Linked DNA regions of Astyanax mexicanus. The protein of the gene in region 1 purifies or fractionates together with the protein of each later gene. This does not show direct contact. Links are inferred from orthologs where the notes say so. Each region holds a gene or a part of one and is shown in the gene's direction. Other genes may lie near its edges. The genes, in order: sqstm1, ripk1l, llgl1 and hadhb.

Region 1 (7,324 bases):
ACATATATCCTAAAATATACAGCTTGTATAATATTCTTAGATTCTAATCTTTCTTATACTAAGACAGAAGATATACAATGAATGTGAATTTGGTAGATGTTTACAAGCACAAATTTACAAACTCGCTAATACCTATAGAGCTAATATGAAAATAAAACTTTGATTAAACACAAAAAGTACTACAACAAACACTAGGGATGTGGTGACTTGTGAGATTGTGGGATCTTAAACAAGGTTGTGGATTAAATATTTAAATATGCTAAGCAGTCACATTGGGGCCCTTAATCAAGACAATTAACTTTCTCTTCTTTTCTGTGTCAGTGTAAATAATGTTTTAAAGGTCTATATAACTATAACTTAGTGCAATGATTTTAATAGTTTAATAAAGGTTCTTTACACTCACACTCAGACCAGCTGGTCAATCAGAAAAACATCCCCTCTGCTGGCCAGGAGGCTAGTTAACAAGCTACCCTACCACCGGGTTTGTACAATGCACACTGTACTCAGTGTTTGCTGTACATTGTGTACTTCATATTAATATTGTTAGTTCCACATCTTCAGTGTTGTCCCATAAAATGATATAATGAAATACTTACAAAAAATGTGAGGGGCTTGCTTACTTACTTTTGTGAGTAAAATAATAAATTATTAAATAATTTTTTACATAAATACATACAAAATTGACCAGATGTATTTTATAGCTCACACTTTTGCTTTGCTAGATTAACTTAAAATCAAACAATGTACTGCAAATTCGTGTGTGTGTGTGTGTGTGTGGCCTCTTTAGGAATCTTAGGAAAGAGTGAGTCGAATGAAATAGTTGCGACACTGAGGTTTGGAACATCCCCATCTAGGTTTGGTATGCGGTTATATTTAACAGAAAGGTCACAGAAAGAGTCATAATCACAGTTTATTTTAATCTGTTTTTACTGTGCTTTGGAAACTGTCAGTATTTTGGTTCATACCTTTATCACCGTGTTTCTATCTCAGTGGCCCCAGACACTGTTTTCATTAATCTGCTACTGACAGTAAACCCTCTGATTTACCACAAGACCAGTATATTAGATTAAATGTCTTTGGGGAAACCTAAACAAAGCTTTAGCAGTTTCCAAAAGCTTGGAATTTAATCCTTCTCACACAATTGCATAACCTAGATGAACAATCAAGTCAGCCCACTTGTGTTTCAGCGCATGTGAATTACAGAATGTTCTGAGGGTCACTGTTCCAGTTACTATTTAAAAAAAGAGCATTTTAGAACACAATTTAACCTACAGAATTTCATGCATCTGCTCAGCTAATAAAATGTGTGTGTTATGATGAGTGCTGTCACTCATCATTTTTGAAGTTTAATTAAATACCCCAGCCATAAGAGCTATTTTATTAAGAACCTTTAAACTGGTAGGAAACGTTACACGAAGTTCTATAAAAGGTTTTGCACAGTCACACATCTCTATTGTAATCTTTATTCATCTAGTTTTTTGTTACAACTCTTTACTGTGAAGAACCTTTAAATTGTTTCGGAATTTTTATATCAAGTGAAGGTTCTTTTGATTGTTCTTAAGAAAGCAAAGAGTGTTTTCATCAGATGCAAAAACAGATAAAGATGTGTTTGTAGAATCACACCTATCTGTTGTCACAAATAAACATATTCATATCAATATTGTGTAATTCCTTCTATAAAACATTGTTTAAAAACATGAAAAGTGCCCACCACAGTGAGTTAATCAGAGTGGGTAGTTTTTTTTAGAACTTTGCATTTCCCACCAAACTTCCCATGGCTTTGTTTACATCACAATCACGTAATAATGGAGAAGCTTTGACAAATTGTTGGATACTTTAGTTTCATGATGGACGGCATCACTGTGGCATTTTGTTTACTTCAGTGTATTAATTATTTGGAAAAGTGTCCAAATACTTTTGTAACTAACCTTCCTACACACACACAACTTGTTTGAACTTGTTTTGGTTAAATCTGGTTACAGAAATCCTACCCAGCAGCATATGTTACTCTACAGGTGTGTTACTATTTGTGCTAGTCATTGTGACACAGCACTTCACACATATCATCTTGCATGAATGAGAGCTTTAGGAGAGCACAGGTTGGAAATGGCTATGTTGATCTAATACTGAACAAATCACACAGTATTTCACTTTAAACAGGGTGATTGCATCAGCATTGAAAGGTGGATTAAACCAGAATAATCTAGAACAACCAAACCAAACAAGCACAGATCACACAGGCTGGGTTAATGCCAAACCAAATGACTGCTGTTAATACTGGAGGTCTAAGTTAATTAGTGCACATGCCCAAATGTTGGAAAAGCTGTTAAATTACACCATGTTATTAAATCACAACATATTCTAATACATTACACCAGGTTATACCTACAGCTGTCTGTGTCCTGGCCTTGAATACAAAGCAGCAGCGCTGCTGTCATTTTCAGCTTTCTGAAGCTTATAGTGGTTATGACTGTGTGGCTGGAAGATGTGTTCATTCAATAATGTGGTAAACTCTAAGGCCTTAGGTTTGTGGTGTTGTTCATTCCTGTTAAATGTCCTTCTATCTCTGCAAGGGATCTTTGCTTTTTGCTGACGCAGTTTGTTTGGCCAATGCTGTCATGTTTTTCAAGACTGTTTCCCATGAAACATGAAATTAGTTTGTGTCTATTGCCCTTGTAATTCAGACAGACACTAACAATCAGGTGTCCTTAGAAGCTGCTTTAGTATCAGTAGATATCAGTTATATTATCATATTTAAAGATGAATAATTAGTCATATTACAAGTATAACATTTCCATAATGTAATATAGTTACATGTTGTAAATTATTGATGTGAAATGTTTGGCTTGCTGTTTACTTTAGCTACCCCGCCACCACCACCCGCAGCGGCAAGACCCGTAGAATTAGAAGGAAAACGTGGCGACACCCCTGTTTCTCCCTAGTGTTGCATAATGCACCTTATAAAACGGTACGCCTTATGTATGAAAATAGATCAGAAAACAGACGTTCATCAATAGTGCGCCTTGTAATCTGGTGTGCCTTATAGTGCAAATACTGTATTTATAGAGATCTAAAACCAAACATTTCTTAAATAAATATTTATACTTATCAAATGTACATGAATTAGCATTTATACTAGTCAGAAATATTTTTTCCAGGTTTATTTATTATTTTTTTCATGTAATAATGCAGAACAAAATCCAATCCAATCAAATAAGTCTAAGCAAAAATAGAGGGAAAAATACAAAAAAGGTACGCTGAAAAAAAGAATACTAAAAAAAGAAACATAAATAACATAATAGATAGAAAAACACAATCATACAATAAATATTCAACAGTTACTCAGGAATAACAAAGGATTGTAAGGTCCTCACATATACAAAGAACGGTTCCCACATTTTCTTAGGTGCTCAGCGAGCCTCTAATGGTGTACCTGATTTTCTCCATTTTGACACATTAGTAAGAAATAGTTTATGTTATAAGGATATGTTGTGCTGTGACTAGTTAGAATGGTTTTATAAATTAATGGGTCTGATATTATTACTAACAAACATTTTATAGATGAATCTTTAACTCTGAACGATTCTACTAGTAAAAATAGCATTACAGGGTTTTGTAATTTGAAGTGTTGGTAGTAAAATTAGTTTTACTTTAGTTTAACTGATTTTAGGTTAAAAAGGCGCTGTATGCACAGTGACAGAGACATGTCCTCGGTGGTGATATCAGGGGGAAATCCCCGGGTGGAAAGTGCTGTGTCATTCCTCGGCCTTTAACATCCCCCCTGTGCTTGGCCCCGCCCACCCCCCCCCCCCCCACCCCGCGCTGTTGTACTGCCTCTGATCACAATAACACGCCGTGAGCTTTGTCCGCCTGTCAAGAAGCACTTAGCCCCGCCCCCCAGGACCCAGGCCGTGTTTCCGATTGGGCGGCTGGGCGGTATAAAAGCTGCGGCTGAGCGGGAGGGCAGGATCGGAGAGGAGCCGCGGCTGCAGGAGGCGTGACGCTCAGCTGACTGCTGATTTAAAGGGAAGTGAATTTCTGCTGCGCAACAAACCCCACAGCCCGACTTCTTGATCCGCAGCAGTTTGTGTCGCGGGAGAAAAAGACGCGAAAATGTCGATGACCGTCAAAGCTTACCTCCTGGGGAAGGAGGACAGCCACAGGGAGATTCGGCGCTTCGCCGTCGACCAGGACGTGTCGACAAGTTTCGAGTACCTGAGCCGCAAAGTGGTGGATGTTTTTACCAACCTCCGGAATGCCACATTCCAAATGTACTACAAAGGTAAGTTAGGACTTTAATACAGAAATAATCTCTTTAACTAGATAAAGTTATAATAGTGTGGGGTTACACAGGCTGGGCTCCTTCCTCCAGTGTTTGGTTTAATGGGACTTTAACCTGAATGGGTTATTTATTAACCGGCCAACCGAGGCCTTAATACCACCTTATTACACTGTAACTAATTCTTAGTTACTTAGCGAGGTTAGCTAATGGGCATCGTGTAATCTGGTTAAATCTGAGCTATAGCCTCTTTTCACTATTACACTATGACATTATGACTTTGGTCTGGTTATAAAACTATACCTTAAACAAGTTTATTTTGTGTATATATATAACTGAAGTGCCCCCTGCTGTATGTGTATATATATATATATATATATATATATATATATATATATATATATATATATAGTATATATGTAATGACAGTAAGCTATAATTAAGTTTACAGTATAATTATAATGTGTTTTAAGGTTTTTAGATAGCTAATATTCTAACTTCAGTATAAAGAAACAGACAGTAAGCTAGGTTAGCTAGTTCATGTTCATGTTCATCAGCATATTATATCAACACAGGTTCAGCTGCTCAGACTTGTTTTCCTTCATTGTTTCTGGTTGTGTGTCGACTCCACCCTTGTAATGGAAATACACCTAATTAAGCTCAAACAGAGTTTTGTGTTTAAATCTCTAAATGAGATGTTTTACAGCATTTCAGCATATTTTCATGATATATATATACATACATACATTTATACATATATGTACAGTGGCAGTATTTGCCCTCTTACAGATTTCTTTTGAATTTTTGTCATACTTACATTTTTCAGATGATCAAATTTTTATATCAAACAAACTATCCAAACCAATCTAGCCCTTTGTAAAAAAAAGTGTTTGTCCCCCATAAATTAACTGATTAATCACACTTTGGAAAGCTGAGTTCAATTTCACTATCCACAACCAGGCGTGATTATTGCCAGACCTGTAGAATTAAGAACACTGAACCTTCCCAGGAGTGGCCGGCAGACCGAAATTATTGCAAAATGGCATGGACAACTCATCCAGGAGGTCACAAAATAACCTAAAACAACATATAAAGAAGTGCAGGTCTCACTTCCCTCAATTAGATCAGTATTAATGATATAATAATGAGAAAGAGACTGGTCGAAAGTTGTACCCATGGAAGAGTTCCAAGGCAAAATACACTGCTGACCAAAAAGAACAGCCCGTCTCACATTTTTCAAAAAACATCTTGGAGACTTTGGACAAATGTTCTTTGCACTGATGAGACAAAAGTGGAACTTTTTGGAAGGTTTGTATCCCTCTACAAATGGCGTAAAACTAACACATAATTTTAGTAAAAAACATCATCCTGAATGTAAAACATGGTGGTGGTAGTATGATGGTCTGGGGCTGCTTTGCTCCTTCAGAACCCGGAAAACTTGCTGTAACAGATGGAACCAGGAATTCTGTTGTTTACTAGACAGTCCTGAATGAGAATGTACAGCCAACTGTTCATGACCTCAAGCTCAGGCGTACCTTGGTTCTGCAGCAGGACAATAACCTGAAGCACACAAACAAGTCCACCCCTGAAAGTCTCTAAAAAAAACAAAACAAAATGAAGGTTTTGGAGTGGTCTAGTCAATATCTGATTAAGATGCTGTGGCATGATATTATACAGGCTGTTCATGCTCGAAAACCCTCCAATGAGGCTGAATTAAAATAATTTAATTTAATTCAGTCTTTTACACAGAGATGTGAAAGACTCATTGCAAGTTATCAGTAAAGCTTGATTGCAGTTGTTACCGCCAAGGGTAGTGCAACAAAGTTATTAGGCTTAGGGGTAAAAAAAAAATCACGAAAGGCTAAAATGGTTTGAATAGTTTTTTCCTTTAATAAATAAAATTATAATTTAAGTTTTATATTTATTCAGGTAATATTAAAGTTTGTTTAATAATTAGAAAAATATTAGAAACTCATTTCCGCTTTTCTCTTGTCCTTCAGATGAGGATGGTGACATGATTGCCTTCTCCACTGATGATGAGCTCATGATGGGATTGACTCTGGTGAAGGAAGACACCTTCCGTCTCTTCATTAAGGGTAAGTTGCATAAGAATGCAAACGGTTGTTTGTGAATCTTACATAAAGATTTTATTAAGAACATTTTGGCAAACATTCAGTGTGAGAATCTGTGGAAATGCTTGATATCATCTGATCAGACCTAAAACCTAAAGCATAAAACCAGTTTTAATCCTTTTTTCACAGTTAATAACCTTCTTAATAATAACCTGTTTTTTTTTTTGTTTTTTTGTTTTTTCAGAAAAAAAGGAGCACAAGCGTGACTTCTCTCCACATGGGTTTCCAGGGTTTTCCTTTGGCCATCCTCCAGGACCACATCACATGGGGCCACCTGGGCACCATCATGGTGGACATCATGGCGAACATCATGGGGGACATCATGGAGGACATCACGGAGGACATCATGGTGGGCCCCATGGACCACCTCCAAATGGACCACCTCCACATATGGGCCCACCTCCACACCAAGCTCCCCCCATGATTCACCCTGGTGTGACCTGTGATGGATGTGAGGGCCAAGTGGCTGGAACTCGCTTCAAGTGCACTTTGTGCCCAGATTATGACCTTTGCTCCACCTGCCAGGCCAAGGGCCTCCACAAGGAACATCCTCTCCTGCCCATTTTCCATCCCATGGCCAACATGTTTGAGGTAACCTTACATTTAAGGAGATACTTTTTATTGGCAGTTGGTTGGTTGTTTTTTCCCTCTACTTATCTGTTTATTAAAAACTCAACAACTCCTTTTTCTCACTCAGTGGTTCCCACGTGGTGGGAAGTTTTGGCGCAAGATGAGGCACTGCATGTGGGCTGGTGCTCAGGCCCAGGCCCAGGCCCAGGCTCAAAACCAGAACCAAAACCAGCCTCAACCAGGTCCATCTGGAACTCAGCCCAGCTCCCAGGAGGAAAACATGCAGGATGACCAGGCCCAAAATGGTAAGTTAATGTTAGACAAAAAGCACCTTTTCAACAAC
Region 2 (8,201 bases), on another chromosome or scaffold:
TCAGATAATGCTAAAGGAGAATGTCTGGCCATCTGTTTGTGACCTCAAGCTCAGGCGTACTTGGGTTCTGCAGCATGACAATGACCCTAAATATACCAGCAAGTTCACACCAGAATGGCTTGAAAAAACTAAATGAAGGTTTTGGATTGGCAAAGTTTTTTAAACATAATCTGTGTTCATGCTCAAAAAACATAAATAGATGCACTGTTACAGCTCAGCAGACCAGGCTGCCTCATCTTCTTCAATACAGGCTTTTTGGAAAGGCAGACCAGCTCTGCTGTGTGGGAAAGAGAAGGAGGCCAGGCCTGGAATGTATGTGTGTGTGTGTGTGTGTTAAAGTGTGTGTGCACGTGTGTGTACATATGTATGTGTCAGGTGAGTATTTTTAGATTTGTGAACTACAGTGGTACTCTCTGTATCTCGCTCTCTATTTGTCCAAATGTTTGTGGACACCCCTTCCAACGCATGCAATCTGCTGCTTTAATTTGCTTTAATTTGCTTTAATTAAGCTTCCATGTCCAATGGAAGTTAATGAACACTATGGATATCTGTGATTTGTGTGTGGAGCCTCCTATATTAAATATGGACGTGATTTGAGTCCGTATACACTGTTCAAGCCAAATGCCAATGGTGACGATCATTACATAAAATAAAATCCACCCCTCGAGAAAATGAGCCAATCAGCTTGCTCGTTATGCCAAGAGTGAATGAGAGTCTGCATGCAAGTGGGGAAGCCCTGTCTGAAAAGCTGAAAAGTCTAATTCCTTTGGCAGTATTAAGGTAAATGCTACAAACTGTTCATAAGATTTTTTACAATCATGTAAAATATAAAATACAGTTTTCAGTATTTTGGTTACATTAACGACTTGCCATACATTTTCTTTTTTTATGACATCTATGTTGTCCATTATGCTTTTCTCAGCAGAGGGAGCCCATTAAAATGAACAGACCTTTTCACTGGATTTATATCTAATTTATTTAGGATTTATATATATATATATATATATATATATATATATATATATATATATATATATATATATATATATATATTTTAATAGTTGCTATTTTAACGAATTGCTATTTGAAATGATACATTGTATTTTGAATGCTACTTAGCAATTAATTCTGGAGTAATATTGTATATTGTTAGACAAAAGTAGCTACGTATGTTCACAAAACTTTGGCAATGGAACGTCCCGTCCATCTGACACCCACTATTGGACCTTTTCCACCAATGTGGATCAGGCTCTGTTCTGGAACCAAAGAATAGCAGGATCTTCAGTGCAAACCGAGAGCCACTGTGTGCAACTCCCTCTGCTGATTACGTATTCTCTGACGTATCCATTAAAACAGTTTTACTAAAACTGGTGCAAACGTGGGCTGGGTTACTGACAAGTTTCTTATAATCTTGAACAGAACCAGTTCCAGAACACAGAAATGAGATATTCTGAATATATATATCAGACCTCACTAGAACTTTGATAATGCATGTCGCCTTGCCATGAGCACATTGGCCAGTGTTTGTCTCAGCGGGCAACACCATGCCAAGGTCCATTGAGACCAATACAATGCCACAGAGGGTTAAATGCTGTCCCATGACTTTTGGCATGCTAGCATAACTGGTGTGTGAGCACACTGAAACTCATCCTGATGACATTAATATGAGTAGTGAGTACATCATGCTCCCTCTCTCTCTTTTCTCTCTCTCTCTCTCTCTCAGTGTACTGGTGGGTGAAGGCAGGGAGTGAGTGAGACCCCTCTGCCCACTCAGGACCACCAGTGTGGGTGTTTTATCAGAAAAAAACACAGAATAAATAAATAAATAATAAATATTCACATTAATACAGAGAAAAACACTGAAATAAAGCAGTAAACCTGCCTACATTCACTCTGATCCACTAACACACTTCACACACTGATAACTTTCCTCTGATTCACCCCCTATACACACACACACACACACACACACACACACACACACACACACACACACACACACACACACGCGCGCGCGCGCGCGCTGACCGCTGTCAGAGCGCTGTTTTACCTTATTAATCCCGTTCCCCATGTCCGCTCCGCTCCTCTGCGCTGCTCACACTGGGGCAGTTTGATTACTCCGCGTCTGATTACACTAGAGTTGCCCTTGCGCTGTCACCAAAACGCAACTGCGCATGCGTACAGCTCAGGCATTGTGGGATATGTAGTTTTGTTACCTTGTTAGGCTAAACGCATTTTTAAAGAGACGCACAAACTATATGACAGTTGTTATAAAACAAAATGGCTATTTATAAAAAAAATAATAAATGGTTTAAGATTATAGATTATCACACAGTCGAGCATAACCAGCCAGAAACAATCCTAATTCAAAATGCAGAGGTTTTAAGTAATAAAGTACAAATGCTTAAATACGGCTCTGGAAAAAATAAGAGACCACTTCAGTGTCTACAGACAACAATTCTCCCAAATTCCAAATAAAAATATTGTAATTTAGACCATTTATTTGCAGAAAATGAGAAATGTCTGAAAAAACAAAAAAAAAAAGATGCACAGTTTTTAGACCTCAAATATAATAATGCAAAAAAAACAAAAACAAGTTCATATCCATAAAGTTTTTTTGTTGAATAACCCTGGTTTTTAATCACAGTTGTTGTTATTTTTTTCATGCATTTGGCATGTTCTCTTCCACCAGTCTTACACACTGCTTTTGGATAACTTTATGCTACTCCTGATGCAAAAATTCAATCAGTTCAGTTTGGTTTGATGGCTTGTCATCATCCATCTTCCTCTTGATTATATTCCAGAGGTTTTTCGATTTGGTAAAGTGCTCTTTTAGCCATAGTTTAGCACATAGCCAAACGTTTTTGGACACTGCTATATATTCTATATTCTGTATGAGACATAAGTATTAACACCCCACCATTTCAGCCAAAGGTTTTGGACTTTAGCATTTAACCAAACATTGTTGGACTAACAGCTAACCAAAAGTATTGCCTGTCCAACATTTAGCCAAAGGATTTTGGACTTTAGCATTTAGCCAAAGGATTTTGGACTTTAGCATTTAGCCAAAGGTTTTTGGACTTTAGCATTTAGCCAAAGGTTTTTGGACTTTAGCATTTAGCCAAAGGTTTTTTGGACTTTAGCATTTAGCCAAAGGTTTTTGGACTTTAGCATTTAGCCAAATGTTTTTGGACTTTAGCATTTAGCCAAAGGTTTTTGGACTTTAGCATTTAGCCAAATGTTTTTGGACTTTAGCATTTAGCCAAAGGTTTTTGGACTTTAGCATTTAGCCAAAGGTTTTTGGACTTTAGCATTTAGCCAAAGGTTTTTGGACTTTAGCATTTAGCCAAATGTTTTTGGACTTTAGCATTTAGCCAAAGGTTTTTGGACTTTAGCATTTAGCCAAAGGTTTTTGGACTTTAGCATTTAGCCAAAGGTTTTTTGGACTTTAGCATTTAGCCAAAGGTTTTTGGACTTTAGCATTTAGCCAAAGGTTTTTGGACTTTAGCATTTAGCCAAAGGTTTTTGGACTTTAGCATTTAGCCAAAGGTTTTTTGACTTTAGCATTTAGCCAAAGGTTTTTGGACTTTAGCATTTAGCCAAAGGTTTTTGGACTTTAGCATTTAGCCAAATGTTTTTGGACTTTAGCATTTAGCCAAAGGTTTTTGGACTTTAGCATTTAGCCAAAGGTTTTTGGACTTTAGCATTTAGCCAAAGGTTTTTTGGACTTTAGCATTTAGCCAAAGGTTTTTGGACTTTAGCATTTAGCCAAAGGTTTTTGGACTTTAGCATTTAGCCAAAGGTTTTTTGGACTTTAGCATTTAGCCAAAGGTTTTTTGGACTTTAGCATTTAGCCAAAGGTTTTTGGACTTTAGCATTTAGCCAAATGTTTTTGGACTTTAGCATTTAGCCAAAGGTTTTTGGACTTTAGCATTTAGCCAAAGGTTTTTGGACTTTAGCATTTAGCCAAAGGTTTTTAGACTTTAGCATTTAGCCAAAGGTTTTTAGACTTTAGCATTTAGCCAAAGGTTTTTAGACTTTAGCATTTAGCCAAAGATTTTTGGACTTTAGCATTTAGCCAAAGGATTTTGGACTTTAGAATTCAGCCAAATGTTTTTGGACTTTAGCATTTAGCCAAAGGTTTTTGGACTTTAGCATTTAGCCAAAGGTTTTTGGACTTTAGCATTTAGCCAAAGGATTTTAGACTTTAGCATTTAGCCAAAGATTTTTGGACTTTAGCATTTAGCCAAAGGATTTTGGACTTTAGAATTCAGCCAGAGGTTTTTGGACTTTAGCATTTAGCCAAAGGTTTTTGGACTTTAGCATTTAGCCGAAGGATTTTGGACTTTAGAATTCAGCCAAAGGTTTTTGGACTTTAGCATTTAGTCAAAGGTTTTTTGGACTTTAGCATTTAGCCAAATGTTTTTGACACTGCTCTATTAGCCAAAGTTTAGCTTACTGTTTTTGGACACTGCTTAATTAGCCAAAGTTTAGTCAAACGTTTTTGGACTTTAGCTTTTAACTAATGTTTTTGGAAACTAATATATCCGACAAAATTATTAGAATTCCACAATTTCAGCAAAATAATTTTTGGACTTTTTGGCATTTTTCCAAGCCAACTCAAAGTTTCCCTTTCTAGTTATTATTATTATTATTATTATTATTATTATTATTATTATTATTATTATTATTATTATTATTATTATTATTATTATTGTACTGTAGGTGTGTGAGTGTGTGAAGCACTAGTCTGGTCTCTGGTGGTGATTAGTTTGGTCTGAAGGGGGTTTTTCTTACTTTCAGTTCTGCAGTGTGTGTGTGTGTGAACCCGGAACACACACACACACACAGCTTCCTCAGGAACTCAGAGGAATGTAGATCAGGGTGAGTGAAACACACAGTCTGATTATTATTATTATTATTATTTTACACTTTATGCTGATTATATACCGAGATTTTACTACTGAACACCCGGCCGGAGGAGCAGCAGCAGGAGAACATGAGCTTCAGCTGGAGTTACTGAAGATCCACAGCTACATTCAGATCTTCAGCCCGGTAACTTACTGCTCTCTGTACACAGTAACACTGATTCATCTGTAGATTGTAGATACTGGGTGTGTTAGGAGATGTGTGGTGGAGGTTTGGCAGTGTCAGACGTGTTAGGACATTACTGGAAGTGTTTTAGAGTGGTACTGGGGCTGGTGCTGGTTGTGGTTGTGCTGTGTTAGTAAAACGTGTTTCTTAAGTTGTTTTGGTGTTGATTTTAGGTGTTTTGTGGAGGTTTGGTTGTGTCAAAAGTGTTAGGATATTACTATTAAGTTGGTTCAGAAGGTTGTGATGCTGGTTTTAGGTGTTGGGATGTGTGCTAGTTGGTGTTTTGGGAAGGTTTGGTTGTGTCAGAAGTGTTAGGATGTTACTAAAGTTGGTTTAGAAGGCATTTGGTTTGTGTTGGTTGGTGTTTTGTGAAGGTTTGGTTGTGTCAGAAGTGTTAGGATGTTACTAAAGTTGGTTTAGAAGGCATTTGGTTTGTGTTGGTTGGTGTTTTGTGAAGGTTTGGTTGTGTCAGAAGTGTTAGGATGTTACTAAAGTTGGTTTAGAAGGCATTTGGTTTGTGTTGGTTGGTGTTTTGTGAAGGGTTGGTTGTGTCAGAAGTGTTAGGATGTTAGTAAACGTAATTTAGAGGGTCTTAGTACTGTGGCTGGTTGTTAAGTGTGTGATGGTGAGGTTTGGTTGTGTCAAAAGTTTTAGGATATTACTAATTTTGGTTTAGCTGGTGTTGGTTCTAGGAGCAAGGTGTTAGCAAGTGTTTGATAGAGGTTTGGTGGAGGTTTTTTGTGTCAGTAGTAAAAGTTGCTTTGCTACATTGCAAGTTGGTTTAGAAGGTGTATGGTTTGTGTTGCTGGTGTTTGGTGGAGGTTTGGATGTGTCAAAAGTGTTAGTATATTACTATTAGGTTGGTTCAGAAGGTTGCGATGCTTGTTTTAGGTGTTGGGATGTGTGCTAGTTGGTGTTTTGGGAAGGTTTGGGTGTGTCAGAAGTGTTAGAATGTTAGTAAAGGTGATTTAGAGGGTCTTAGTATTAGTGCTGGTTGTTGGATGTGTTAGTTGGTGTTTTGTGGAGGTTTGTTCATGTCAGAAGTGTTAGGATATTCCTAAAGTAGGTTCAGAGGCTGTTGAGGTTGGTTTTAGGTGTCAGGATGTGTGTTAGTTGGTGTTTTGTGAAGGTTTGGTTGTGTTAGAATATTACTAAAGTTGCTTCAGAAGACGTTTGGTTAGTAGGTGTTTGGTGGAGGTTGGTTTCTGTCAGAAGTGTTAGGATATTACTAAATGTGGTGTAGCTGGTGTTGGTTCCAGGGGCAAGGTGTTAGCTGGTGTTTGATAGAGGTTTGGTGGAGTTTTTTGTCAGAAATAGTAAAAGTTGCTTTGCTACATTGCTAAAGTTGGTTTAGAAGGCGTTTGGTTTATACTGTTGGTATTTTGTGGAGGTTTGGCTGTGTCAGAAGTGTTAGGATATTAATAACGGTAATTTAGATGGTTTTGGTACTGGTGCTGGTTGATGGGTGTGTGTATGTTGGTGTTTTGTGAAGGTTTGGATGTGTCAAAAGTGTTAGGATATTACAATTAAGTTGGTTAAAGCGTTTGGTTTGTGTTAGTAGGTGTTTTGTGGAGGTTGGTTGTGTCAGAAGTGTTAGGATATTACTATTAAGTTGGTTCAGAAGGTTGTGATGCTGGTTTTAGGTGTTGGGATGTGTGCTAGTTGGTGTTTTGTGAAGGTTTGGTTGTGTCAGAAGTGTTAAGATGTTAATAAACGTAATTTAGAGGGTCTTAGTACAGGTGCTGGTTGTTGAGTGTGTGTTAGTAAGTGTTTTGTGGAGGTTTGGTTGTGTCAAAGGTGTTAGGATATTAATATTAAGTTGATTACGAAGGTGTTTGGTTTGTGTTAGTAGGTGTTTGGTGGAGGTTTGATTGTGTCAAGAAGTGTTCAGATATTGTTCATGTTTGTGTTTTGTGTTTTGAAGGTTTGTTCAGTGTCAGAAGTGTAAGGACATTCCTAAAGTTGGTTCAGATGGTTTTGGTGTTGAATTTAGGTGTTTGATAGAGGTTTTGGCAGTGTCAAAAGTTTTAGGACATTTCTAAAGTCGATTCAGTTCAAGTTTTGCTGTTGTGTTTAGGTGTTGGAGGATGTGTTAGTTGGTGTTAGGTGGAGTTGTTTGCAGTGTCAGAAGTCTTAGGACATAGCTAAAATTGGTTCAGTAGGTGTTACGTGTTGGTTTTAGGCATTAGGCTGTGGTAATAAGTGTTTGGTGGAAGTAAGGTCTTGTCAGAAATGTTAGGACATGTCTGAAGTTGGTTCCGAAGGTGTTTGTGTTGGTTAAAGAGTCCTTAGTTGTTGTGGCTTGTGTTAGTAGGTGTTTTGTGGAGGCTTGGTCGTGTGATACTGGTCCTGGTTGTTGGATATGTGTTAGTCGGTGTTTGGTGGAGTATTGATTGTGTCAGAAGTGTTAGTATATTACTAAAGTTGGTTTAGAAGGCGTTTGGTTTATACTGTTGGTGTTTTGTGGAGGTTTGTCTGTGTCAGAAGTGTTAGTATATTACTAAAGTTGGTTTAGAAGGCTTTTGGTGGAGATTTGTTTGTGTCGGAAGTGTTAGGACACTCCTAAAGTTGGTTTAGAGGGTCTTTGTGCTGTGTGTGTTAGCAGTGTAAATCACTTCCTCAGTGGTGTCAGGTTACACAACTCCTCAGGTGGGCTAGTGTTATAGATAGATACAGAATATGAACACTATAAAAAAAGAATATGTGCATTAGTTTAATATTTTGAACAGTTTCAGGACGATAATACATTTTTATCTTGTAATCTTATCTTAAACAGCCACAGCATGGCTACAGGATCGAGCTTGGACATTTACATGAAGTCCTCGGACTTGATCAGGAAGAAGCGGCTGGACTATGGAGGCTTTGGAGAGGTTTACCTGTGCTACCACAAAACCCTGGGCCAGGTGGTGCAGAAGACCGTGTACACGGGACCACCTCGAAATGAGTGAGTGTTATTGGGTTGGTGTTCTTTAGGAAGGTGTTCATAATTCACCCAGTTCTCAAAAACACTCGATACATCGATTATCTAAAATCCTGTACCTGACATCAGTAACAGTGTATATTATATCTTAAATCATTTATTAATACTTGATTAAACATTTGACTTC
Region 3 (7,642 bases), on another chromosome or scaffold:
CAGAGCCTATCGACAGCAATTACAGCCTGTGGTTTAGAAGAGTGATCTGGAATCAGCCACTTAAATTTGACAATGAACTTGGAGTCACCATGCATTACAACCAGGTACCTGTTTTCTCTTAAAGCAGCACCTTTTCATTATTTTGAATTAAAAACAGTACTGTCCCTTAGTTCAGAGAGGGCAACATATTATAATACTGTAAATGGCATCAGTGTGTTCTGCTACCATTCCTGCAGTATATAATATATTTATTTTAAAGACAGGGTGTCTTGTAGATCCCAAGGATTTTTTCTGGCTATAGCAACTTTTCCTGGTTACTAGGAAAAGACTTGCACACTGTCACTTTAATATTTCTGTTTATACCTCAGTAACAGGTTGGATGATGCATTGCTGTACTTATTGGATGAGCTTTTGTCACAGAATTTGTACTTTTTCATGTGTCTCATATTGCAGGTTGCCCCTGACTACTTAAAAGGACTGCTGAATGTTGTTCCGCAGGGGAAAGCAAGTGAGCAGCAGTTTCAGCAGGTGGCAAAATTGGCCGCCCTGCAACATCGTGCCAAGGACTCTGCCTATCTTCCTTCCCTGTAATTCAACAGTCACTCGCCTTACATTTTACCAGACCTTTTTCTAGATCATGTTTTTTCTAGATCATGTTCAATTCTAGAGCTTGATTCCAGATTCCAGTCCTGGATTTCAGAAATGATAGAGTTAAATTCATTACATTTTCAGAAAAAGATTTTATTAGTTCTGCTAGCGCTCTGCTCTGAATGGGTCGTTCCTGCTCCAATAGCTTTTATAACTATTAATTTGGTCTTTATCTTCAAAGTGTCAGTTTTGTTTTCTTGTGTTATATTCACATAATGACATGATTATCGGACAAGTTGATCTTTTCAGAACTTTTAACAAAATTATGAATTTCTAAAATCTTTATTTTTAATCTTTTATTTTAAGTTTTTTTTCAATTGGATTAATAGCTAAAATTATAAACTATGTTTATCTGTACATTCAAGCCTTGAGGTCCAGGAGTGCATTCCTGTCCAGCTGTGTGTGCTGCAGCGCCCCCAGCAGTGGCTGAACATGGTAACCCAACACATGCAGCAGATCCAGGCCCTCAGCCCCCATCAAGCCAGAGCCCAATTCCTGGGTAAGGAGCTTCGATGCTCAAAACGTAATCAATACTGTAAGTGTCTATGGTGTATACTGTATTTATGACCACTGCTTTATATTTTGGTATTACAGGGCTCGTAAGTGCCTTCCCCATGTTTGGATCCTCCTTCTTCTACATTCAGAGCAGCAGCAACAGCTCCATTGACTGCCCCTGCATTCTGGCTGTCAATCAGAACGGACTGAACTTCCTGAACAAAGAAACACATGTAAGTAAACTGAGCAGATCATGAACACATGTATCTTTATATTGAGATAAAGAAGATAGACCTGATGAACTGATGAACTTGATCGATTATTTGCTCTGCAGGAGCCGATATTGAAATTCCCCCTGAAAGAGGTGCAGTCCAGCCGCACTCAGAGGCCTACAGCCGGCTCCTGTTACCCTTATGTGGAGATAATGCTGGGAGATCTGATGTCTCAGCGCATCACACAGCTGCATTTAGACCAGGTATGCTCTGTACTGTATGTGTACATGAAGGAGAATAACATAATTGGGATGTTGTGATCTTTCATGATGTGGTTTGGGCTGGCTTAATTCCAAAATATGCAAAGACAAATCAGACATGACTGGGAGTTTTTGTACATTTGCTTTGACTTTCGTTTGATGCAGACAGTTTTAGACCGCTGGACCACTCGGTGCCCCGTCTTTATACATTTCAATATGTTTCTCTTGCGCTTGTTGATAAACTGGAGATCCTCTCCTCATCTTTGCTCATCAAAGTCTGAGTCAAATCATGATTATAATCAGCTGTTGACATCACCTTTTTAAAATAACATCATTATTATTTTTTTTAACCATACGCTGCCTCCATCCCAACTTCTTTTGAAATGTGTTGTATATTAGCACATGAAATAAACTGAGCAGACAAAACATTAAGGGCTCTATTTTAAAAATCTTTAGGTGAGAAGTCATCCCCACACCCCGTGCAGCTTGATTTAAGGCGTGCAATATGACTTTGCTATTGTAACCACAGGAAAAGTATGCACTGCGAGGCTTAAAACACGCCAAAGGCATGTACTTATCCTCTTAATTAATAATGGGTGTGTTTTGGGCGTTCATTCTGTTTATTGTTGAGGTAAAAGTTTGCATAGCTGCCAACAGGCATGTGCTATGGGTCTTTTAACTGCTGCGTGTCCATTTGTGCGTAACAAGTGTGTTGGGCACGTGCTTGTGTCTGATGGTTGATGTCTGCTTAGGTTGTTTTCAGTCAGTGGTGCACCTGTGTTTTTTGTTGCCAAGGTAGCAATATGGCAGAAATTTACCTAAACACACACCATATTTCCTTATTGGATATATTCACACACACTGTTGCTATTTAAACAATGCAGGTGCGAGGCATGAAAATAGACTGTTGGTAGGGTGTAAGATAGCAATGAACAGGGTATAAGATAGGGTCCTACAAATATTGAGTTTATACTGTCTGCAATTAAATACTTTAGCATTTAGTACCAACTTTTGGATTTATTGGAGTGATTTTTGCATATGTGTGATGTGTGTGTGTGTTTGTTACTTTTCAGAGTCTGGAACTATGCCGTGTCATCGCCATGCACATGGAGAACATGCTGTCAGTGCGAGAGAAGAGACTCACTCTGCCTCCCAGCGAGATCACTTTGCTTTAATTAGCCTTCAGACAAAAACACTCACACACATTATATTTCCACTTTCAATGATAAATATTGTTAGAATGATTTGACCGATTTTTAGCCTTGTTGCTAATTTAAATCGTATTACCACTACCTCACACCCTGAAGAATATGCTTCGATATGCCCCCACAGGCCCTGATTCCACTTTCACTGTGGAACACAAGGTAGAATCGCCCGTCTATAAAGAATGTCTATGATTTGTCAGGATATGCCATGTTTTGCTGCTGTTTCTGAAATCATTTGCACTTCTGTGAATATGTACATAATGTATTTGTGTGTCATTTTCACATGTTGTATCTGAATACAAAAATAAATCTAGTTTTTCAAATTATTTTTTTTATAATTGAACAAAACGTGAAAGCCTCCGTGTGATTTATTTGATATATCCTACTCATTATTAAACATCACTAAAGATATTTAGTTTGAGCTCAAAACTTATTTCAGGACAATCAAAATACTGCATAATAGAAAGGAATAATACTGCAAATTAAACTCACTTGCAAATTATAAGGCAATGTATGAGGAATCCAAAATACTGAATTCATACTATGCATGCTTTATATAAGGCCATAAAATGTGTCGATTCAATAAATTCAATGTTGTTTTCTAACATTTGTTATTTTCAAATATTCACTATTTCCTTCCTTCATTATGTTTCCAAAATTGTTTTTTTTAAGGCAGAAACAAGGGAGAAATTTCTTAAATTGAGGGAATTTGTGGGGATTTCATGTTTCAAACCGTGATAACAGATGTTTAAATCAAGGGAATCATGTAATAACTTATGGTAAATAATTATTCAAATAAAGGGAATAATTTATTATATTATAATACATTTTTATTGATGGAATGATTAGTGAATATAAGTAGTGAAAGATTTGTTAGATTGTGGTACCTGTCTTTTAAATTAGGGGAGTGTAATAAATTTAATACAATCAAGAGAATAATATAAAGTGAAAAATTTACATTTTTTCCAGATTTAGATTTTTGTAACAAGGGGATTATTTATTTAATTGAGAAAAAGATTGAATTATTAAATTAATTCGAAATTGAATCAAATTTATAAATAGATGGATACTTTTATTAAAATTAAATAATGCTTTATCAAATTTTGGGAAATGTTTTAAATGGATTATTTTAGGTTTTTAGTAAGTATTTGGTCTGGTCTTCTGAAGCCCTGCATGTGGAGCGTGCTTAAACGGTCTGCTCTCAGCGGCGCTTCTGATTGGACGCTGGGAAATTGGCTGCTGATTACAGTCCGCGGCAGCAGCGCTCCGGTCCGCGGAATCCGCTCCGGGTTTTGGGTGCGCAGTGAGGCTGGGGGCGTGGTTTAGAGGCTTGGTCGCGGTTTCCCGGGCTGTGATTGGCTGCTGCGGCCGTGATTCCTGTGAACTTGCCCTGTGGTTGAACGACAGGAGCAGGCTGTGGGCGGGCGGTGAGAAGCGGAGGCGGAGGGAGACGCGGAGCTACGCGAGGCACGCTGTCCGTTTATTTAGCGTCAGTTTAAACGGTGCGGGAGTTGAGAGACAGAGAGAGACGCCGCGGGGTTTGGGGACGCTGTGTTCGGCTTCAGGATGATGAAGTTTCGGTTCAGGCGGCAGGGGAACGACCCCCAGAGGGAGAAGATTAAGCAGGACCTCTTCGCGTTTAATAAGGTGGGTGTGATTCGGGGGCAGCGGGCAGTTTAACCGCGGGGTTCTGCGGGGAGCAGCGGCTGCCCGCTCAGCTGCGGCTCATCAGAGCTGCGTGTTAAAACTCAACCACTCAACGGAAAAAGTTAGCTGAAGCTGCTGCTGCTGCTGCTTCTGCTGTAATGCAGTGCTGCTGCTCTGTCCTGCACCACAGTTTAATGTGCTTTCTTATAAATGAGACATTTAGTCTCCAGAATTAAAAAAAAAACATATTAACTATCCACTATTTCCTTAAAAACACAGCTACTGATAATCTCAAATTTGGCTAATCCACGCTTTTTCTAGGACATTTTTTCTGTTGTTTGTCTCTAGGAGTCTACACAGGTCTGGGATGTTTATTTAACACGACTGTTCACAGTCACTATAAAACAATCCAAACATATCGTCTGTTTTTCCCAGTAAACATTAGTGAGATGTGTGGGATGTTTGTTTGTACAATTTCTAATTCAAAACCTTTCAACACCTCTGGAAAAAAATAATTAAGGATAATTAGGATGCAGACCTCAAATAATGCAAAGAATACAAGTTCATATTCATAAAGTTTTAAGAGTTCAGAAATCAATACTTAATGGAATAACCCTGCTTTTTAATCACAGTTTTAATGCATCTTGGCATGTTTTCCTCCACCAGTCTTGCACACTGCTTGCACACTACTGTTTTTTTAAGCCGCTCCTTGGTGCACAAATCCAAGCAGTTCAGCTTGGTTTGATGACTAGGTTATATTTGTCTTCTTTGTCTCTAGTAGTCTAAAAACATTAGTAAAATTGGCTAAACTAGTTAGTTACCAATGTTAACAAAGCATTTTTATGCTTTCAGCTTTGGAACTCCTATATGATGATACATACAGAGAGTGTACACAGGTCTGGTATGTGTTTCTGCAACGTTTATTGTCCGCAATCACTTAAAAAAACTAAAGATATGTCTACAAACATACCTTCTGCTCTTCCCAGAAAACAATGTAGAGAGGTGTGGGATGTGTTTATGTACCATTTCTAATTTAAAACATCTCAAAAACAGCCCAAGCTTATTCTGCCAAAAAGCTCTTTTCTATATTTGTGTTTGTTTTTAGCATTGATAAAATGGCAAAAACAATAAGCAGTTGCATGAATCAACTTTGCACTAACGCTTATTTCAGTAAACTGTGTGATATTGCAACCTATTTTTGTTGCACATTCCAAATTCTTGTCCCCAGTTACTAAAGAACAATTCAAACATATCTTCTGCTCTTCCCAGTACACAATGGAGCAAGGTGTGGGAGTTTAAAACTAGTTTAAAACATCTTAAAAAGCAGCCCAGACATTCTTACAAACAAATTAGCTCTTTTCTGTATTTGTTTTTTTGTCTAGCAGTGTAAAAACATTGGTAAAACTGGCAAAACAAACAATTGCATGAATCAACCATACAACCTTTGCATGAATGGCCTGTACAAAAATGCCTAAAAACACCCAAACTCCCATAATCTTACCAGTAAACAACCACAAACATTTGTCACACCACACTAGCTATTGCTGTTTCTTTGACTGTGAAAACTTTGATGAAATTGGGGAAAATTACCACAGATGTGCTCTTTTTTTAAAATAATTCCAAACCTCTCCTTCAGTTTTCCCAGTAAACAATAACATATTTGGCTGCACTCATTTAACTAGTGCTGTCTGGGTGATGTCTGTCTCTGACTGTGTAACTGTGGTTGCACCACACTTTCTCTTTGCTAACTATATAACAGTTTATAGAAAGAGTGTACACAATAAGGAGAAATGTGGGATATGTTTCTGTAACCGTTATTGTCTAAAATTCCTAAAAAAACAATGCATTCCATTTGCTCCTCCCACTAAACAATCTTAACATTTGCTGCACCACACTGCTGCTGTTTTACTGCTGTCCGTCTCTGACAGTATAAAACTGTCAAACAGATTCTGGTTATATCCTTTTGTTTCTCTCTCTCTTTTTCAACTCTGAATGAGGTCATATAAACAGCATATGCAGTGGAGTGTGGCCTGTGATGTTTCTGTAAAATTCTCTTATCCAGATTCTCTGAAAACAATTCCAAACTTATCCTGTGGTCTTCCACTAGTTCTGTCTGGGTCTCACTTCCCTGACAATGTGAGAGTTGGTAAAATTGGAGGTGACTAAAGTTAACAGAGTATGCTTACACTCTTAATTTGAAAAAACTGTAGACTTTAAATACCAAAATCTGGAGTCCAATAAAGTGTCTACACAGTGGTGAGAAGTCTAGGACATCTGCCTGGCAGTAAATTCTCCCACCTGAGTTGAACTCGCTTCTCAGAGGCAGGAGATGGTAAGATTTGTTGAACTGTTATGTAATGAGACAAGTAACATCTTCATTAAGATAAGACAATTCTTTTCACCTCAGGCATGAGGAGGTGGGCTCTGATATCCTTTGAGTAATGACTTTGGCTTCTTTTCTAAATATATGGAGTATAAGTAGTGTTTTTTTTATCTAATTATTTCTCTGTGTAAAATGTTTATTTTAATCTGCATTAATGAGTTTTACAATTTAGACATGTTCTGATCAGGGTTTTTCTCTAACCTTACACAATATTGTATACAATATTCAGCCAAAAAAACTCTTTTCTGAGAGGAGAACCAGCATTATTAATCAGTACATGTGGCTCAAAGTGAAAGTTTTTTTGTGTACTTTTTAAGTAAATAGTCATCGTATTTTGACCTTTTATTGTTTAACATATGGAGCTTGGAGTATAACACCGGTTTCATTGGAAGTCTCAGCTGTCACACAGAGGCTATATTTTAGCCTGGCTGGGTCTCAGTGGGAGTTCTTTAAAATTGTACTAAATTACAGCCTCCAAAGGAGGTGAATAACATATTGGTGTGAATCCTGTAACTATATATAAGCAAGTCTATAAAAAAGTAGTGTGTATGTCACCATTTAATGGTAATTCTGTAGTAATCTGGTCACTGTCAATTTTCTAGGATTAAGATTGCATTTATGTTTATTGACCTTGATCACTCGGGTAGGAGTATAGATCCTGGGGTTTAAAAATAAGTATCAACTAAAGCTTTTTACTCAAGTAAAAGTACTGGTTTTAAAACTACTTAAAGTGTAAAAGTAATGTAAGGCGGGAAAAAATAACATTAAGGACAAAAGCACTAGGATGCACTA
Region 4 (8,166 bases), on another chromosome or scaffold:
ATTGTCCATCGCGATGTTTCACTGTAAACATCGTCATCTGCCAATTAAGGAGACATCGCCCAACCCTACTATCAGTATAAAACCTACAAAAGCATGCAAAACACCCGTCTGAACACCCCTGCTTAAAGTGTCTTTTAAAAAAACAGATAAGAGAGTAAAAGATGAAAAGAGTTTAAACTAAATTATTTTATGAATCTGAAAGGGAAAAGGGCCCAAAAGCAGCCTGATCCAGGATTACAGAATTTGAAGATAGTAATACAATAATTGCTAATGGTTGTTAAGAACAAACCATAGGCATAGCAATGTAATTAAGGTCGTAGACATTGATAAAAGCTGCCATCCAAAAGTCTATTTTCCTCTCCAAACTTTTACTTTTTAGTAAACATTTTTATAGACTAGTTTATCTTCTATTTTCCTAAATATTCACAGCAACATATTTATAGGGTGCCTAAACGTTTGCTTGCACCTTTGAACAACACTGATTTTTGCGAAAGAAAAAGTGAATATTTGCTGACAATTTGCTGATATGATAAAAGTCCATTTCATAACACTCAGCCTTAAAAAAAAATAAGTGTGCAGTATGAAAGTGAAAATGACATCACATCACATCACAATAAAACTAATTTCCCTTAGAAAGACAGAACAGTGTGTTGGAGTTACTGACCCGGCCTGAAGGGTCGTTGATCTTGATGACTGCAACGTCATCTTTGAGCTCATAGTTGACATAGGTGCGAGCTGAAAAAAAGATCACAGATATGTACAGGATTATACGCCAAAAGCAGGGATCATAAAATTAATAATGTGTGTTGATGGTTTAAAACACTTATGCTAATAATTACCCAGCAGAGCTGATGATGCAGAGAAGTTCCGGCGTCCATTCACTAAACAAAAAAAATATATATTTGCACAAGTGAACAGAGCCCTCAGCTTAAAGAAAAATACTGAACCTAAAGACTGTAGATACAGCCTGAAAAGCTTAACACATTCTCTAGCTTACTATTTTATGTAATGTTTATATAAACTCAGATTACTTCATCTAAATCACATCTTTAGTTCACACAACACTGAAAAAACATGTGATCATGAATAAAAGTGTGAGTAAAACATGCAGTCAAAAACCAGTTTAAAGATGTTTACTTAAGATTGGTAATTTTAGGGTGATATTTGGACAAACATTTAAACAGGACAGGTTTATTCTCTCGTGTGTGGCCCGTCAAAATGATATTTTTTTGTGGACGATTTAATCGCCCCAGTAATTATTGTGATAAACGATATTATTGTCATTTTAAGCCCAATTACATGCCACTGACATAATGATAATAAAAAAAATCAATTTTATGAATTAATTAAAATTTACAGTTAAGGACGATGCGTTTTTATGAAAACTGATTTTCTCTGTTTAGACTTCTGCTACCTATGCTCCCTTCTGGGCTTCTATAGTTCAGAGTGGCCCTCCTCCGGTGAGGATCCGTGATTATTTGTGGAAAACAATAAATAGTGCTCCTTGAATGTTTCTTTCATTACAACTTTCTGTGACCTGTTTACTGCTTCATTACTGCTCACATTCTGCAGTATAATCCAGTGTCTGTCTCTTTTTAATAGGGAAATTTTTTTAGTTAAAATCAAAAAACTGATTTTCTTTTATTGGTGAAAAAAAAATAGATTTTTAGGGCATATTACCCAGCTCTAAAAAACAGAAAAGCTTAAAGCACAACTTCGTTCCCTTTTAAAGACAACAAATTTGTAATTTATTATAGTTTGGAAAATACATACTTTTTGCAGTACACACTGTGTGTATGGGGTTATTAAAACATTGGATATTACATAACTGGCTAAAATACTGTTCACTGTTATATATGTGAACAAACATACAATTAAACACAATAGATGATATCACAATTATCAAATATTATTGAGGGCATGTCCATTTAGTGAATGATAAGTCAATAATGTAATGATCGTGACAAGAAAAAAGGTTTTTGCAGAGCTGTGAAACCAGAAAAATCTTCAGTATTACAGAAATTAATCACTTAAGATATTTTCTTCTAATAAGAAAGCTTAAAAACTGTCCCAATATACAGCTATTATATCTATAGCTACTTTACCAACAAAACTTTGAGGGTCACTTTTACTGACCTTGGTCAATTGTAACTCTTTAATATTTAGTACTAGACTGAGCTAAAGCCACAGAATCATGCAATTAAAATCAAAAGAAATCATGTATGACCCTAACCTTAATCAAAACAGTTTAACATCCCTTATTAATCAATAATGACTCTGACCTAAATACAGATACAGTTACTGATGCAGCATGACCTGCAGCCCAGTTCTGTTTCTCCTTCACCTGACCCGGTCACAAGAGGTAATGCCACCATACACACCCTCTGTGAGAGAGCGTGTGTATGAGTGCATGTGGAAAAAGTACTCTAAACAGGGAGTGACAAGACGACTAGCGTCACCAGGACTTGGGTGTAAATATGGTTTGGGACATCATTCACTCAGGTACCATATATGGAAACTTTGGGGGAATGTTTGGGTCACTAGGCCAACCTACAAAATCATACCAGAGCCCATTTAATATCTCACTTTGCAATATATATTTTTTTCTGTATTAATTGCTATTTTGAAAAACAGGATTTTATATCAGATTTCTCCAGAAGTCCCTGATTGTTACAATATTAACAATTTATTCCATGTATCCAAAATTGGAGTCAAAAAAATGATGAGAGAGCAGTGTGATTTTTTTGTATCGTCTTTTGTATCAAGCAGCTAAAAGGTAACATTTGTTTGATATGACGTCACTGCCATGAAATCATTTCAAACAGTAAAAAACAACAATTAAAAGGATATTGAAAAATTCTTTATAACTGTGACTACATGCATGCACAAATAATTGCAATAAACAACAGTATTGTCATGTCAAGATCCTTTTAATCCTATTTACACAGTTACAGAGTTATCTGTGTGTGTCTTTTTCTACTGTAGTTATGTGCCGTGTGCTTCTAGTGTTTCTAGTGTGTAAATGCTGCAGTAGAGAGTGCAATAACAAAATCTGTTCCAGCACTGCTTTACTACAGATAAAAGCTTTGTAAATTGACAAGTTTTTCAAATCAATTTCCAAAGCTCAATTTATTTTTATTGCTACTCATAAGCTGTAAGCTAATTATGGAAACTTTATTCAGAATAAAAGTGCAGTGACCTTAACTGTAGACCACTGGGTCACTAGGCCGATCTAAAAAAAATGATACTCCGTGTTCCAGGTTGCAGCATTACCAGAGCCTATTTAAAATCTGACATTACAATATCTATCTGTGATATGGGTGTGTCATATAGTATCTTATGGTACGCAATAATATCACCAACATTTTTGAATATTGTGAATGTGAACGATATTACATCCTAAAATATTGTGCCATATCGCCCACCGCTAATTATCACATCAGGGTCCTACTTTTTTTGCTGCTTTTAGCAAAATAAAAATTCACACTGTTCTCATTTACCATTATATATCTACTAGAGACAGATTATATCTGTCCAGTATCATTCATTTTACTTCATTCCTGGATATATGGAGATATTTCAAGTGCATTAATGATCATGATGTTCTGGTCATTGACTTATTTTACAAATCTGATAAAATTCTTGTATTTTTTATTATCGCAGTTAGGGGTGTGCCATATTATATTGTATTATATTATATTGCTGAAGTACGTATATTTTTAAATATATATATATATTTTTTAAATTCAGTGTTTTGACATATCACCAAGAGTATCGCCATCGTGAAAATACAATGAAATATTGTGATATTATATTAAGCCATATTGCCCACCTCTAATCTGTGATTTAGTGCAATTTTTAAAATATAGGGTTTTATATCAGATTTCTCCAAAAGGTAATGACAGTTTTCAGTTGTTAAAATCATTCCTTTTTACAATACTCTTTTTTCTACAATAATAAAATGTTTTTTTCAGTGTTTAGTTCATTTGCTTTCCTTCAAGGCCTTGTCAGTTTACTGCAAAAAATGTGTACACTGATTTTTGTGCCATTTCCTTCTATTCTTGACTGTAGATGAAGAAAAACAAAGGGGAAAATTAGTTTAAAGGAGCAGCTCTGATTTCACTCATTCTTCTATAACTAAACTCACTCAATGCAATGCACATATAACTAATCTACTTCACAAATTAATAGCATGCCTTATTACATAACACACACTGACATTCTCAACTCTTTGGTACACTGGGGTGGTGTGTAAGGTGGTCTTCTGGTCATGCACTTGATCATTCCCCCCCATCGGTCACCCTCCCAGCAGAAGTAGGTGAAAGTTCATCCGCCTGTGAGGCTCGCAGGGTCGCGTAAGGACGCTACACGCACTGCAGCTTTTCGCTATTGAGCTGATTTCACTATAAAAAACTACAAAACCCAGAGTCTGAGTCTGATCTGCTGCACCTACCGGAGAAATGAGGGTATCTGCTGGCCGCAGATCTGATCAGTGTGCCCGCCGCCCGTACGCTCGCCATCGCCTCCGGAGCTCCGCTTCACAGACGCTGAGAGACAGACAGACGCACGCGCACAATCACGCACTCACACACGCGCACCCCCCCAGCACACAAACCGTGAAACGGAAGCGCGAGGGAGGGGAAACCGGTGCGTTAAGGACCCAAGCTGCATTCCATTTCTCAGATTGCGTAGCTAAAGTCACTTTTTAAAAGCACTGACAACTGAAACACGTGCACATGAATATATACGGCTCAGTGCATTTGGTTTTATATGTGTATGCAGATTAGTTTTTTTGTGTTTAATAGTTTTAAGACAATTTAGTGCAGGCAGATTTCAGGGCTACTACGAAACTTTTAAGGTCTTTCGAGCTGCACATTTTTTGTAGTCGTTTGTCATCTTGGTCCAGTCCCAGGAAGAGTCCCGCGGCTTCGGGTTCATCATACAGCAGGATCTGCGCAGGTAACGCTCCTTCATACACACACAGATTATCTGCATTCACTGGCTATAATAACATAATAACACACACATACACAGAGAGATACTGAACGCTTGAGAGTGTTTGTGCACATGCGCAGTGCGGGCTGGCTGATTTCACTGTCAGTGTGGTGTCTTGCTGGCTAGCTGCGGTAAGCTCAAATCCTGCTGTTTTTAATGGTCTCACTATTTTATTTATTGTAAATAAGCCTGTTAAAGTATTTGTGTTTAGTGTGTTTGGTAGACAGGGCAGTGCAGTTTGTAGTTTTGCACAATTAGTGTGTGAGAGTGAGATAGTTAGCAGTGTGTGCAGCCTGCCCTTGTGCCGGCTGAAGAAGTAGGTGAAGGGTCACCGAGCTGTTTATAATTCAGCTAATCAGGGCACGTTACCAGAATGAAATCAGAAGTCTTGCATATGACTTTTACACACCTGAGACACTGTAAAGTGTGATTAATCAGCTGATCGCAGGTTTGTTATTCTGATAGACACGCATTTATTACTAAAATGTTTACATAAGAGGATATATAATGCTACCTTCAATACCTCCTCATAAATTACTGTAGATTCATTATTTTGAACAAACAAACAAAAAAACAAACACAGTGGACTGTAATAGTGTGATTATAGCAGAAAAGAGTGACATTGGCATTGACATTTGTTTATTAAGTGTCATGTTGAAGGTGAATTAAGAGCACTGACGCCGTTTTCGCTACACTGTATGTTAGCATACATGGTGCTTGGTGAAGTTGTCTATAGCATTATTTTAATATAATAATGTAATTTAATGTAATAATATATGACTATATATTAAAGAAGAGTGAGTGACCGTGTTGAATTCACAGCTTTACAACCTTGACCAGGCTGACCGCAATGACACAGTAAAGCCTGTCATGTATGGGATCTGAACCCACGCTAGAGGAGGCCATCCTGACGGACCCTTAGTATAGTGGGCGTGGTCACCCTGTTGAAGAGGCGTGGTCTAATTCTGTGTCGGCCTGGTTTCTTTCTGTTCGCTACAGTAGATACTGTAGCATCGTTACGTTTTTTCTACCATCGCAAATGAAAAGCGCAAAAATCGAGGCAAAATATAAACGAAACTATTTTGTGGATTTATATATGTAACATATTGTACATAGAGTTTAGCAATATATCAATATTTTTATTGTATAATTATATAATTTACCATCATTTATATCGTGAGGACACTGCTTTTGCTGTCCAATGAAAAACGAGAAGCTCCATTTTTGTTGATTTTTAGTTTGCTAAATAAGTTTAACAGGCGAACTGGCAACATTTATAAAAGACTTGAAATAAACACTTTTTATTTCATTTACTTACATTTTGTTGCTGTTCTGTAAAGTTGCCGTTTTGGAGATGCATGTTTTTCAGTGGACTGCGATCATATCAAATGTACCATCAGGGCCTACAGGACCCTGACCTAACTAACCAATTTAATTACAGAGAGTGTTTAATTACATGGTGTGCCACAAAAATTTAATAATCACTGTGCAAATTATTAAATAGTATTTAAATAGCATAATAGCAGAATCTGACACTGCTGATGTTTTTTTTCTCCTTATTTAAACTTGATGATAAATACTGTGTGTCAAAGTCAAAGTGGTTTTTATTGTCATTTCAGCTATATACAGAGTACACAGTGAAACGAAACAACGTTCCTCCAGGGACCATGGTGCACATAAACACAGTGTAGACAAAACAATAGTGCAACAGTACAAAAGTGCAGACAGACAATACAACACAATACAGACAGAATAATAAATAACAAGACAGTGTACAAATTATGCAGTGTGCAAAAAGTGTGCAAAAAGACCAGTGAGGTAGTAATTACCTCTATTGCACAGTGTGCAATAGAGTCCAGTGAGGTAGTAGGGTTTTTAGTGCTTTCCATTTTCTGGGGTAAGTGGGGTAAGAGTGTGTGTGCATGTACAGAAAAAACATCAGTTCAGTCTCTGCAGTTGAGGAGTCTGATGGCTTGGGGGTAGAAGCTGTTGCAGAATCTGGTCGTGCTGGACCGGATGCTGCGGTACCTTTTTCCCGAAGGCAGGAGGGAGAACAGTTTGTGTGAGGGATGGGTGGGGTCATTCACAATGCTGGTTGCTTTGCGGATGCTGCGGGTGGTGTAAATGTCCGTGATGGAGGTGAGAGAGACGCCGATGATCCTCTCAGCTGTCCTCACAATACGCTGGAGGGTCTTGCAGTCAGAGACGGTGCAGGTCCCAAACCAGGCAGTGATGCAGCTGCTCAGGATGCTCTCAATGGTCCCTCTATAGAAGAGTGTGAGGATGGGTGGAGGGAGACGGGATAACGGGGAATGGGATATAATATTTTTACCATATCACTCAGTATCAGCATGCCATTATGTACACCATGGACAGTGGCTTTTATACTGTACATATTGGTATCAGAATCTTAGCATGGGGACCTAAATGAAGTAATATAGTATGAAATAAATTTTGGGAATATTTCAAGCCCTGAAATTAAGCCTAGAACTTTAAAAACATAAGGCTTCTTTCATAAACGTATAATCATTTCATAATATTTTTATGTCATACTCTCTTACTTAATACTTGTAAAACGTCTATGTTCTTGCCTGGTCTGTTGAATGTGTTGCATGTTATACATCTGTGTCATTCATTCATTTGTGAATTTTTTTTTTCAGATTTCTAAATGCTGCTGGTGTATTAAATCATTTGTCTAGTATACCCTCAGCCATGTAAAGCTGCTTTTTGACATAAATAGCATAATGCAATTAAAATTAAATACAATAAAAACAATTAAATACAATAAACACACCGGTTTATTTTACAGTGCAGTAAATCCAAGCACTGCTTCTACTGAGTGTTGCTTGTCTGTTGGGAATTAAACAGGTCTAATTTAAAAAGGCCTCTAACAGGAGTTGACAAGCTTTCGATAATATCAGTGTTAAATTATTTTCCTCTCTCCCGTGTTGTGCATTTTTCTGAATAGAAACACGTGTAGGATTTTTGCACAAAAACCCATTCATTCTCTACACTCAGATGACAATGTTAAGTGGAAGCTTCTCTTACCAGAAATTCTGTGGTCTAAATCTCAGGCCAGAATTTCTACATTTGTATAAACTTCACAATTATAAGGAAAATACAGACTGTTGAAAAAATGTTAAAAATGGGTGAATAGGGAGTTGAGTCATT

What was found.
Region 2: the proteins of sqstm1 (region 1) and ripk1l purify together in Homo sapiens (affinity purification with western blotting; 3 studies listed by BioGRID and IntAct, with this or other methods). This does not show direct contact. The link is inferred for Astyanax mexicanus from reciprocal best matches to the Homo sapiens genes SQSTM1 and RIPK1.
Region 3: the proteins of sqstm1 (region 1) and llgl1 purify together in Homo sapiens (affinity purification with mass spectrometry; 3 studies listed by BioGRID and IntAct, with this or other methods). This does not show direct contact. The link is inferred for Astyanax mexicanus from reciprocal best matches to the Homo sapiens genes SQSTM1 and LLGL1.
Region 4: the proteins of sqstm1 (region 1) and hadhb purify together in Homo sapiens (affinity purification with mass spectrometry; 3 studies listed by BioGRID and IntAct, with this or other methods). This does not show direct contact. The link is inferred for Astyanax mexicanus from reciprocal best matches to the Homo sapiens genes SQSTM1 and HADHB.

The regions. Positions count from the first base shown.
Region 1 is NC_064417.1:17,977,818-17,985,141, reverse strand, and holds the start of sqstm1 (sequestosome-1), read left to right. Parts: upstream 1-3,955; 5' UTR 3,956-4,113; coding exon 4,114-4,282; intron 4,283-6,279; coding exon 6,280-6,375; intron 6,376-6,595; coding exon 6,596-7,002; intron 7,003-7,108; coding exon 7,109-7,286; intron 7,287-7,324. UniProt on the Homo sapiens protein: Molecular adapter required for selective macroautophagy (aggrephagy) by acting as a bridge between polyubiquitinated proteins and autophagosomes.
Region 2 is NC_064415.1:8,725,565-8,733,765, reverse strand, and holds the start of ripk1l (receptor-interacting serine/threonine-protein kinase 1), read left to right. Parts: upstream 1-4,816; 5' UTR 4,817-5,055; intron 5,056-5,575; exon of another isoform or gene 5,576-6,545; intron 6,546-6,833; exon of another isoform or gene 6,834-7,743; intron 7,744-7,870; 5' UTR 7,871-7,877; coding exon 7,878-8,038; intron 8,039-8,201. Other genes in the region: dusp22b (dual specificity protein phosphatase 22-B), read right to left, coding at 2,051-2,071. UniProt on the Homo sapiens protein: Serine-threonine kinase which is a key regulator of TNF-mediated apoptosis, necroptosis and inflammatory pathways.
Region 3 is NC_064410.1:54,048,063-54,055,704, reverse strand, and holds the start of llgl1 (lethal(2) giant larvae protein homolog 1), read left to right. Parts: upstream 1-4,245; 5' UTR 4,246-4,386; coding exon 4,387-4,467; intron 4,468-7,642. Other genes in the region: myo15aa (unconventional myosin-XV), read left to right, coding at 1-104, 454-587, 1,014-1,147, 1,243-1,376, 1,478-1,618, 2,689-2,790. UniProt on the Homo sapiens protein: Cortical cytoskeleton protein found in a complex involved in maintaining cell polarity and epithelial integrity. Involved in the regulation of mitotic spindle orientation, proliferation, differentiation and tissue organization of neuroepithelial cells.
Region 4 is NC_064408.1:42,744,586-42,752,751, reverse strand, and holds the start of hadhb (trifunctional enzyme subunit beta, mitochondrial), read left to right. Parts: upstream 1-4,746; 5' UTR 4,747-4,959; intron 4,960-5,033; exon of another isoform or gene 5,034-5,126; intron 5,127-8,166. Other genes in the region: hadhaa (hydroxyacyl-CoA dehydrogenase trifunctional multienzyme complex subunit alpha a), read right to left, coding at 665-735, 840-881, 4,454-4,520. UniProt on the Homo sapiens protein: Mitochondrial trifunctional enzyme catalyzes the last three of the four reactions of the mitochondrial beta-oxidation pathway.